3 linked regions of the Ovis aries genome follow. The protein of the gene in region 1 interacts with the protein of each later gene in a pairwise test. Links are inferred from orthologs where the notes say so. Each region holds a gene or a part of one and is shown in the gene's direction. Other genes may lie near its edges.

Region 1 (3,644 bases):
GGCCCAGAATGTAGTATAGGAGCCGCAGGAGCCTGGGGCGAGATGTGACGGTGGGTTCCCTACTGGTGTCCCCCAGAGATTCCCTAGTGCCACTTGGCATGTAATCAAGTGCTACGTGTTGAAGTATGAACAGTTGTGTTTTGATCAACTCCCCGGAACACTGACAGCACACACTTGTGTGACACTCTTTACACAGGGGTTGACTTACTCTGACCAGTCCGTGGTGCAAGCTCCCATGTGCCTGCCTGGTGAAGCTGTGGGCTAGGGAGAGTCTGGACACAGAGGGTGGCCACATGACCCTGCCCTTCTAGACGTTACCATCTGGTAGTAACGGGCGTCTCCCCTCCACCCCTACCCCCACCCTGAACATGACAAGGCAGTGTTCAAGCGAGCTCATGACTGGTTGCAGCAGCAAGGCCTGTGTGCACAGGAGCTGACCGTGTTCCAGGTGATTGATGGGATCCAGGTGGGTTTTGTCTGGACCAATTACTTGCCCTCTAACTGGCATCGAGTTCTGCTGTCTTCACCTATACCAGTGGTCCTCAAACTTGAACGTGTATCTGGGTGACCAGGAGAACCTATTCAAACACACTGTTTATCCCCCTCCCAGAGTGTGTGATTCCCTAAGCCGGGGACTGGGGCCCAAGAATGAGCATTTCTAATGAGTCCAAGCTGATGTTGATGCTGCTGGCCTGGGGACCACACTGTGAGGCCCTCTGCTGTCAAGGGCCCAGCTTCTGTCTGGAGGCTAGGAGCTGCCCGACCTCACATCTTGTGTGCCTCAGTGTCCTTCGTGGTTTTTTGTGTGTGGCTCATGGTCACTTCTCTTAGTCCAGCTCTCTTTATCCTGTGTGGTGGGAGACCTACTGGCCCGGGAGCTCAGCCCCCTGATCTTTTACTCTTCCGTTTATCCATCCCTTCCTCACTCATTCATTCGTAGGAAGCCTTTATGGCATCAGAGTGCGTGTGCTGACCCTCCCTATTGCTCTCCACAGGCTTTTTGTCCTGGGCATCGGCTTCTTCTCGCTCTGCTTCCTGATGACGTCTCTGGGAGGCCAGTTCTCGGCCCGGCGCCCGGGGGACTCCCCCTTCACCATCCGCACAGAAGGTATCTTGGTGGGGAAAGGGGTGTAGGGGCTTGGGGTCCTTTGAGCCTCACCCTGCAGGAGTCTTTCTGGGGCCCTCTCCTGGGGGTCTGGCCACTTGGTGGATGTGTGAGTGGTCAGGGCTTTAGCTCTTGACCTGGCTATACTCATCAACCTCCTTCTGGCCCAGGTTCCCAGGTCAGGAAGGGCCTTTGAGCCAGGAGCTCCCCAGCATCACAAGGGGCGGCCTGTGTTGCTCCACTAGTGGGGCAGTTTGGGGTCTCTGGATATGACCCCTGTCTCTCTGAGACACATGCTGTCTGCCCCTTTGGCCCAGGGTGTGGCCACAGCACAGGCGAGACTGGCTGTGGGCTCATGTGTCTTATCTCCAAGCTCTGTGGTTCTTTGTCCCTGCCCACGTGATACTTGTGAGGCAGGGGAATGGAGGTTCAGAGCGTGGGCTCTGGGGACCAGATGGGCTTGGTTTGTACCTGGTTCATCACCTACCAGCTGGGTGCCGTTGGCCAGGTCACTTAACTCACTTGCGGAGAAGGAGAGGCGTGACTGTTTTCAGGGGTCAGATTGGATGAGCTCACGCGGCACGGGGTGTGACCGGGTGATGGTCTGGGAGACCTCCTCCTGAAGGTGGGTCCTGCCCCTCTCCATCCTGCTCAAGGAAGAATGGAGAGCGGTTCAGAAAGTCCTGCTCGGTGTGTCATGGGGGCTCTCCCGGTAACTGTGGGAAGGAGGGACATATTGGGGAAACTGAGGCAAGGGGGAGTTTCTGGAACTGTTCAGGGGGCTGCTCTGTGGACTCTCCCCTTCCCCCCACTTCCCGGGAAGTCTTTGTTTGACATCCACCTTCTCGAATCCCCAGGCCTCATCTTTCTGACTCCCCTCTTCCCAGTGACGGATAAACCCTCCAGCAGGAGGGGTTGTTGTCTGGGGTGGGTGCTCTAAGGGGCACTTACTCTGCCATCTGGTGTCTCCTGTTTAGATTCATCCCTTCAGTTTAACATGCACTTCTCTTAACTTGTAAAAATCTCCCAGCAGGAATTTCACATTTATTAGTCACTCAAACCTGAATGCAAATGAATCTGCCCCTTCTCTGATTCATGGAGGTCCCTCGGTCTCTTTGAGTCTCCGTCTTCTCCTCTGGTAAACGGGGCTAACAATGCCCACTTCCCCATGATTGCATGAGGGGGCGTGAAGATAACATAGATGAAGGGTCTTGAGCAGCTTCTGGCAGAGAGTGTGAGCTCTGCAAACATTTATGGGATGTGCTGAGTCTGAGACTCAGGAGAGGATGTTTAGGGAAGAGGACCAAAGAGGTGCTAGGACCTGGAAGCTCTGCGTGGGAGACTCCTGAGGATTGAGATTTGAGGTGGGGGTGAGGCAGTTGTGCAGGTGCCCATGATGGGTAGCTTGGGGACGGGTGGGGGGAGGTTGAGAGTCGGGGGTGGGGTATAAGGAGCGATGTTCAGGCTATCTGGGGGCCACCCCAGGCAAGGGGGTGTGTCTGTTTGGGTGGGCTGCCTCGGGGCCTTGGGCAAGCTGACCTCTGAAAGGTCAGGGATCCAGGAGGTGGGAATCAGGCTGGAGGAGGGGCGTATGGGTGTGCTCATTGCCCTGAGGGTGGCCCCATCCTGGCAGCGCTCAGAGGACCAGGGCTTGGGGGGTCTTGCTCTGCTCTGTACTATGCACTTTTGCCTGGCATGGGGAGAAGGGGCCCAGCTCCAACCTAGATCTTGTGTCTAAGGGGAGAGCAGAGCTACCAAGGGGAGAGGACTTGCCCAGGGTCCCTCAGTTAGACTAGAGGCATGTGTGTGTGTGTGCGTGTGTGTGTGTGTGTGCGTGCGTGTGTGTGTGCGTGTGTGTGTTGTGTGTTGCACATGTTTAAACTTTCCATCAGAGTATGTGCTGTGTGTGTGCTTAGTCGCTTCAGTCATGTCTGACTCTCTGTGGCCCATGGACTGTAGCCCGCCAGGCTCCTCTGTCCATGGGGAGTCTCCAGGCAAGGATACCAGAGTGGGTTGCCATGCCCTCCTCCTGGGAATCTTCCAGACCCAGGAATTGAACCTAGATTTCCCACACTGCAGGCGGATTTTTTTACCATCTGAGCCACAGGGAAGCCCTTTTCTATCAGAGTATAGTATTCAGAAACTGAACCTGTCTAGGCACTCAGCAACCTAGATCCAGAGACAGAGCATCATCCGTCCCCAGAAGCACCCTCAGGCTTCCTTCCACTTTCCACTTCCCCGCGGACGCTGGGACCTGACATCTAATAACACAGAGGAGTGTCGCCCTCGGACTTTATGACGATGGCACCCTCTGGCAGGTGTTCGGTTGCCTGCACATTTTTTCTCTCCATATTGCGTTTGTAAGATTCTCCCCTCTCCTGGCGAGTGATTGCCGACACTGCGCAGCATCCATTGTATGACTACGACACAATGTATTTATCCACTCTGCCCCGGGGCGGACCCTGGGCTGTTTCCAGCTTGGGGTGTTCCTGAATTGCGCTGCTATGAACGTTCCAGCACGTGTCTGTGGTGGATACAC
Region 2 (3,744 bases), on another chromosome or scaffold:
AAGTGACTTAGCAGCAGCGGCAGTCACTCAGTTTGAAAGCTTAAATGATACAATATTGGAAAAGTTCTCGGTGGCGCAGGAAAAGTGGAAATGAACCATGTCAGCTTCCAAGTATAGCCAACAACTGGGTCCGAATGGGTGCCAGGTGCTATAGTTTTATCTATCAATTTACAATCTCCTCTAATAACAAGCTTCTGGGAGAGGAATAGAACTACTTCTATTTCAGAGGAGGAAGCAGAAACCAGGCAGTTCTTCCTTCGGCGGGTGGGGAGCCAACAGGCATGGTACGCTCACCTCCCAGTATGCTGAGTCTCCCTTCTTTCAGTGGCTTTGACCCTCAGATTATGTCTTGGCCTCCAGCTCGGCTGGCAGTGAGAAATGGTCCCTCAACCAACAAATATTTATTGAGTGCCTACGATATACCAGGTAGCGTTTTCAAACTGCCATGGGATTCAAAAGACAAACAGGGCCCGGTCTTGTCTTCCAAGAAGGATCTCCCGAAAGGGTGAGAGAGGCAGGTAAACAATTCCAGGACAGTCTGATAAGGGCCGTAGAGGAGTCCGAGCAAGGGCGGCCGGAGAAGTTTCGGAGGACCCGGCGCGGAGATGGGGTCTGAAGATGCGCCCTGAAAACGCCGGCCCGGCCCCGGCTGCCCCCGGACGTCACCCCAGTTCCCGCATCCTGTCATTACCAGCTGCCCACTAGGTACTGAAGAGGAGGGGGAGGGATTGGGGAGCGAATCCCTCGTGAAGAGCGAGCAAGCACACAAAAGTAACACATCACACTTCCCGGGCGCCCGAGCCCCGCTCCGAGCTGCGCGCACGGCCCGGCGGCCTCCAGGTGCCAGGCGGACCCAGCCTTCGGCCCTCCCCCTCGGCCCTCGCCCTCCGACCTACCGCGGAGCCGGGGGCCGGGGTCCGCCGCTTCCGCCCGCCGCCCGCCGCCCCTCCCCAGCGCGCGCCATCCGGCCGCGGGGCCGCAGCCCTCGGCGCGGCCCCTCCTCCCGCGGGGGGCTCTGCCGTCCCTCGTCCCGTCCCTCCGGGCTCCAGCCGGCAGCCCACGTCCAGGGAGGGCGGGGAGAGGAGGAGGGGAGGGAGGAGGGAGCGGGGGGAGGGAGGCAGGCGAGAGAAGGGGAGCTGCTCGGAGCCCGGACCTCCCAGAGCCAGCCAGGAGCGCGCACTCGGCGGCTCTCCGGGTCCCCGCCGCCCCGCACCTCCCTCCCGCTCCTCTCGGGGTACGCCTCGCCCCTCCTTCCAGCAGCTGCTACGCCCGCGCCGGCGGCCGCCCCCCAGCCCCTCTCGGCCACATCCCCAACTCTGCGGACTCACTCCCGGGACGCGCGTCCTCGCCCCGTCCTTTCTTCCTTCCTGCCTTCCCTCGCGCCCGCCCGCCCGCCCCAGGTCTCCCTCGCGGGTCGCGATTGTCTCCGTCCCCTCCGCGCTGCGCCGGCGCCTCGCCCTGCGCCGTCTTCCCCTCGCACTTCCTGAGTCGCCGGCCGCCGCTGCCCCGACTCCAGCCCGCGGCGTCCGGGGAAGGGAGAAGTGGGCGAGCGCGCCCTCGCCCAGCCCCGCGCCCCAGCCCTGCCCGGCGAGGGAGGACCGGGAAGATGAACAACGGCGGCAAAGCCGAGAAGGAGAACACCCCGAGCGAGGCCAACCTTCAGGAGGAAGAGGTACGGAGCGGCTCGGTGCCGGGGCGGGGACGACCTGGGACGGCGGCCGCGGGCTCTGCCCAGAGTGCGGGTGGCTGGCCGGCCGGCCGGCGGGGCGCGGGTCCGGGGGCGCCGGGCTGCGCTGGGGAAGGGGCACCGAGGGTTTGGGAATCGTCCTGGCGTGGAGACGCAGCCCCAGACTGCGGCCACGGGATGAGGGTGTATCATCGGAGAGTGTGTTTTGGTGGGTCCACGCGCGTCTGCGTGCCTGAAAATTGCGTAACTTTGAGGACTTTCCCGAGACCTCTGTAAGTATAATGGTCAGCTTTGTTTGCCCCGGATTTTAAAAGCGGAATCGAGAGCTGACTCCTGGGTGACCTCAGATGATTGGGACCCGGAGGGTCAGCACTTAGTGCTGGGTCCGGGGCTGGAAGTTGTGGGGTGTGTGTTTGTGTGGTTTAGGGAAGAAACTCGGGGAAAGTTCTCATGAAAAGACACCTTCCGTTCCCTGCCCCCCCCCAACCCCCACAGTTTCTATGCGAAAAGTTCTCGGTGAAATATCTTTCCCAGCTAAGGCGTTTTGGATTAATAGATAACTCATCAGCCGCATTCTTCTCTGATGAGTCAAAGACCCCGAACCTGGCTGATTAGGTTTTGTAAATTTAGGGGCGTTGCGGTTGTGGGGCGCAGCATGCTGGAGTTTCAGACTTTGCAACTCGCGAAGTGTTGATCCAGACTGTTTTAATAGGACTTTGACGTCTGAGCGTAAATTTTATGTGGTGCGTCCCTAACAACGGTAAAAATGTTGCGGCTGCAGAGCGTTCCTTTGGTAGAAACAAAACTCAGTACATGTCGGGGAACTCCTGAACAATCCTTTCAGAATTTTGTAGTTGGGATATTTGCGTTATCTTGTTAAATGGGGCTCTGTACTTGTAGGTGCATTATCTAGAACCCAGTAAACACTGTTTTCCGCCTACCTTTTGAAAAGCCCAGGAAATTGACTTCTGAAACATTCCAAAAGGAACTTAAGAGTATGTGTAGATGCAAGAAAGTATGCAGTCTAGATAAAAGCATTCTTACAGAAAGGTGAACTGATTTCTAAGCGGTTAGGGTGTTGAGATGATTATGGAAATACTATGTTGTGTGTAAACTAAAATTCTGATTGTGAAGCCCAAGGTTGCTGAGGACTTAATACACTTAAGCCCTCAGCACTTGTAAAATGGGAACTATTTAAATGGAGAAGACAGGAGAGCTCCAAGACCAAGCCAAATATTATGCAAAATAACACAAGATTTTACTCTTAACACAGTTGTTCGTGGGTGCAACCCAGGTGAAATGCTGTTGAGCCTGACGTTGCCGTCTCACCTGAGCAAATCGCCTTTATTATTATAAACTGTTCTGAAAAGCATTATTTTTACATGCTGGTTTTTTAAATTGCAAGTGATGGAATAGTACTGACATTTCTTCTCTTTCAGAAAGATGGAGACTTGAATTGCAAGTTCTGCTTTTTTTCTTGAACCTCACTGGCTACTTTCCTATTTTATTTTCCCTACCACTGAAATAAAATTTAAAAATAAAAGGTAGTTTTTTTTTTTAAATGCTGGAGTATTTTATTTTTTATAATTAATAAAAAAGGTAGCTTTATTTAAGGAGTTGCAATGGCTTCAGAAACCTTTCTGTTTCATTAGATTGGCGATCTGTTGACTTCTAAGGGTAAGACTGTATCATACATATGAAACCATCTTTCTCTCTTCACCAGAAAGAGAAACTTGTAAAAGTTCATTAGGGTAAACCAAAGACTATTTTCTTTTTTTTTTTTTTTTTTGGCACACCATAAACTATTTGACAGAATTAAGCATAGAAAACTCAGGTTTTTCTGTTTGACCCAGCTCAGCTTAACTGCCTGCAGCACTGGCCTGTTTGCCCAAACCCTGGGTGTCTTTATATGTGCGAGGTTGGGTGCCAGTAAAATCACAGGTGATCCCAATACAATGGCTGTCTCTTAACCTGTCCTATTGCCTTGTTAAGTCTTCCTTTATCAGGTGGAAATGGCCCGTGGTTCTAGAAAGTATCTGTCTTTATAGCTAGATACT
Region 3 (3,744 bases), on another chromosome or scaffold:
GAATTCACAGCACACACACGGACGTTTTCGGGTTGTTCGTTTGCTTCCAAAGCAGTGCAGAATAAAGCTGAGAGGCGCCGACCGGTTGACCATTGCAGCCGACTGGTCTACGCTCCGGATTCGCATTGGATTCGTCCAGACCGCCAAGAGATGAATTCAGGGTGCTCTCTGAAGCCTGCCTTCTGAAGACGGCTCCGGGATTGCCATCGCGCCTCTTCGCACTGAGCCGTTGTGCTACCCTGCGCCGCAGTAACCACTGCTTTTCTTGTTTTCTCCCATTAGGGGAGCATCTCTGTGTGTTTGCGGAGGTATTCTGCTTTAGGCCATAACCCATACACACAAGTATCACTTTAAACAAAGTTTTACAGTCATCTGTGCAAAGGCCCTCTCCCACCCAAAGACACTGGTGTGGGGGTGGGGTGGCCCCGTCCCTTATTCATAACTAGATTGCTGAGTCCGTGGGCATTTGAATGGGGTGATGCGAGACCTCCGTTTGATTTCTCAAAGACCGTTGGGCAGGGTTCAGATCATATGCGGTAACTTGGGGGGCACTAGCGTGGCCCCTTCATTCGCTCTCTGAAAGTTTAGACCCAGTGCTTAAACACAAACTCCAAAAGAGCATTTGCCGGCTTTTCAGAACAGAGACTTTATTTTTTGTTACAACGTGGAGGTGTAGAAAGGTAAACTGCGCCACAGAGGGAGGACTATTTTCCCCTTTGAAACAGCCTGCAAAACGGGTCGTCATCCTTGGACCAGCAGGTTTTCAAAAGCATTTTCTTCTGCAGCGGCAAAAAGAAAAAAAAAAAAAAAACTTTGCAAAAAGAAATCAAGAAAGCCCCCATTTCTCGAACCAGTTCAAATGCCCTACCCCCAATTTCTCCAGCCAGTGGCCGCAGGACCTGGCTCCCCGCAACATAAAACCTCTTCTCGCGCCGGGACCCTAGTGTATCCGCAGCGCTCAGATAGGTTCCGGATCTCCCCGAGCCGTGTTTCTGTGGCCAAGTGTGGGAATGAAAGCCGCCTTGGGCCCGGTGCCGCCAAATCGGGCCTGGAGGGAGGCGGGAAGAGAGTTGAAGGGGAACTGCCACCCGCCTCGCCCAGAGGCACCCTCACCCTCATCCGCGCTGGTCCTCCCTTCCCCGCCCCGCGGGCGCTGCCGCGTCCCGAGTGCTGCAGTCCCTCCCTTGCAAGCAGGAGAGGCGCAGGGAGCGCGGAGGAGGGGGCCGTGAGCGCCCCCGTGAGAGTGGCCCGGCGGCAGGTAGCAGGGAGAGTAAAGCGCAGGGTCTCGAGAGGCGCGGGCAGGAGGAAGGAGGCGTGGAGTGGAGTGGGGTGGAGAGTGCCAGGAGACCGGGACCCCGAAGGTGGGGGTGGCGGGGGAGGGAGGCGGGGGGAGGGCGGCAGAGGACGTGCCGGCCGGTCTGCGCGCGGGAGCTGCGGACGAGCCGCTTCAGACCTTAACCAGAGCTCTCGCCGGCTCCCGGCAGCCGCCGCCGCGCCTCGGCCGCGGAGGACGTGCCGGCCAAAGGAGCGGCGGGAGGAGACTCGGCCGACTCGGGAGTAGGGAAGCGCCCGTCGGGAGCCGTAAAGACGGCCGCGGCCCCTCCAGCCACTCCGAAGCGCTCAAGGCCGCCTGGACTGCGGGGCCGAGGACTGCGCCGCCCGGAGGCCGCTTTGGAGAGGGCCTCTCAGCCCCGCCGTCCAGCGGCCCCGTACCGGCTCCCGCCGCCAGCTTGCCAGCTCTGTCGGGAGCCCGGGGCATGAACGGCTACGGCTCCCCCTACCTGTACATGGGCGGCCCGGTGTCGCAGCCGCCGCGGGCGCCCCTGCAGCGCACGCCCAAGTGCGCGCGCTGCCGCAACCACGGCGTGCTGTCCTGGCTCAAGGGCCACAAGCGCTACTGCCGCTTCAAAGACTGCACCTGCGAGAAGTGCATCCTCATCATCGAGCGGCAGCGGGTCATGGCGGCGCAGGTGGCGCTGCGCAGGCAGCAGGCCAACGAGAGCCTCGAGAGCCTCATCCCCGACTCGCTGCGCGCCCTGCCGGGACCCCCGCCGCCGGGAGACGCCGCCGCCGCCCCGCAGCCGCCGCCGACCTCGCAGCCGTCGCAGCAGCCGTCGCGCCCAGCCGCCGAGTTGGCTGCGGCCGCCGCGCTGCGCTGGGCCGCCGAGCCCCCGCCCGGGGCGCTGCAGGCGCCGCTCGCCAAGCCAGGTAAGGGCCGCGGCGGGGCCGGGCCGGGCTTGCGCCCGGTCGGAAACACTTGGAAGCAGCCCTGGAGGCTTTGGCCGGCAGGCCCGAAGGCGAGTGTGGCGGGAGTGGGCTGGGCGCGACCTTACCCCCCAACTCCAGCCAAGCCGGTCCTTACTCCCTCGGCGGAAGCGGCGTTCAGTCTGGACCCGGCGAGGTAGGAGGTGGAACCGAGGTGCCCTCGGGAAAGGCGCCTCGGGCTCGCCAAGTGCCTTCTCTAAGTTTAAGGGGACGGGTAGATAAAGAGGTCGAAACAGGACCAGATTAAAATCCACGCGGGCGCACACACTCCAGGCTTTTCGACTGTAGGCTTGAGAGGCCTCGCATCTGGAGGTTGGGACGGGAGGGCAGAGAAGGAGCCCAGGCCCACGGTTTGGCCTACTCTGGGCGATTTTCTCGGCACCCGGCAACTGGAGCGAACCTGAAGCCTTTCTAGTCTGCTGTGGTCTCCAGCCTTGTGCAGTTTGTTGAAGGAAGCCTTGTTTAGAAGCAAGAGTAGAAAGGGACCAGAAAGACTCCCAAAACTGTTAGCAGGGACTCAATGTGGTGCACCCAGAGCCAGCCAACTCCTTTTGCAGGAGTTCAGGTCCTGTAATACCATTTCGCAGGCAGTCCTCTGCAGTCTGCCGTTTTAAAGAAAGACAAAACCTGAGCTACAGTGAGGAAGGCCACGCCTGGAGAGCCTTTTCCCCAGTTCTCCGTGGGCCTGGGCCTCCTGCGGCCCTCTCCTCTCCTCTTCCCCCTCCGCTGTGTTCTAGAGAGCAGGAGTCTGCCCTGAGTCCTGGAGCTGCGCAGATCCCCCTACCCACCTTTTTATCCAGTTCCCTCCTTCAGGCCACCAAAACCTTGCACACCCCACTGGAGCCTTTCCTCCTGGAGACTTACTAGCTTGTGACTGTCCTGCCCAACCCAAGTGCTCCTTTGGTTTTTAACCCCTTGGAATTCAGTGGACAGGTGTTTGGTGTTTCCCTTTCACTGGGGGCAGATGTGCAAAGGAAAGAAACCCCATCTTCTCAGGGAGAGGGTTGAGAGGTATGCTGGGACTCAGAGGTGGAAGGCTCTCGAAGGACCAAAGCCCTCCTGTGGGTGGAACTAATGGTAGAGCTTCCGCCTACCCCTAACTGCCTCCCCTCCAAAATGCAATACTTCTGGTTTCTGGAGAGAGGCTTTCTGGAGCACTGGATTGCTGGGTGGAGCTGGGGACATGCCATTTCTTGGGGATAAGCTGGTAGGCCGCCTGGCAGGCTCAGTTCTGCTGCCCTGTTCCTCAGTTATGCTCTGCAGACCCAACCTCTGAGAACATCTTATGTGAAGAGCAGAACTGGGTGTTTAAAGACAGAAGTGAGTTTGCTGAACGTGGCTTTTGTGACTGTTTAATCCAGGGTAGGATGGATATAAGCCTTTCCCTGAGTATGTCTACTCACTTCCTGGTGACTCTCTCTTGTCAGTGTGATCTCATGTTTCACAGAGGAGTCAGAGGGGAGGGGAAAGAACCTTTTT

The links.
Region 2: the proteins of MGAT5B (region 1) and RBPMS interact in a two-hybrid assay, tested with the Homo sapiens proteins (2 studies listed by BioGRID and IntAct). The two-hybrid records come from large-scale screens. The link is inferred for Ovis aries from reciprocal best matches to the Homo sapiens genes MGAT5B and RBPMS.
Region 3: the proteins of MGAT5B (region 1) and DMRT3 interact in a two-hybrid assay, tested with the Homo sapiens proteins (2 studies listed by BioGRID). The two-hybrid records come from large-scale screens. The link is inferred for Ovis aries from reciprocal best matches to the Homo sapiens genes MGAT5B and DMRT3.

The regions. Positions count from the first base shown.
Region 1 is NC_056064.1:54,304,645-54,308,288, reverse strand, and holds part of MGAT5B (alpha-1,6-mannosylglycoprotein 6-beta-N-acetylglucosaminyltransferase B), read left to right. Parts: intron 1-995; coding exon 996-1,108; intron 1,109-3,644. UniProt on the Homo sapiens protein: Glycosyltransferase that acts on alpha-linked mannose of N-glycans and O-mannosyl glycans.
Region 2 is NC_056079.1:25,628,278-25,632,021, forward strand, and holds the start of RBPMS (RNA-binding protein with multiple splicing), read left to right. Parts: upstream 1-1,158; 5' UTR 1,159-1,606; coding exon 1,607-1,672; intron 1,673-3,744.
Region 3 is NC_056055.1:69,238,657-69,242,400, forward strand, and holds the start of DMRT3 (doublesex- and mab-3-related transcription factor 3), read left to right. Parts: upstream 1-1,482; 5' UTR 1,483-1,757; coding exon 1,758-2,208; intron 2,209-3,744. UniProt on the Homo sapiens protein: Probable transcription factor that plays a role in configuring the spinal circuits controlling stride in vertebrates.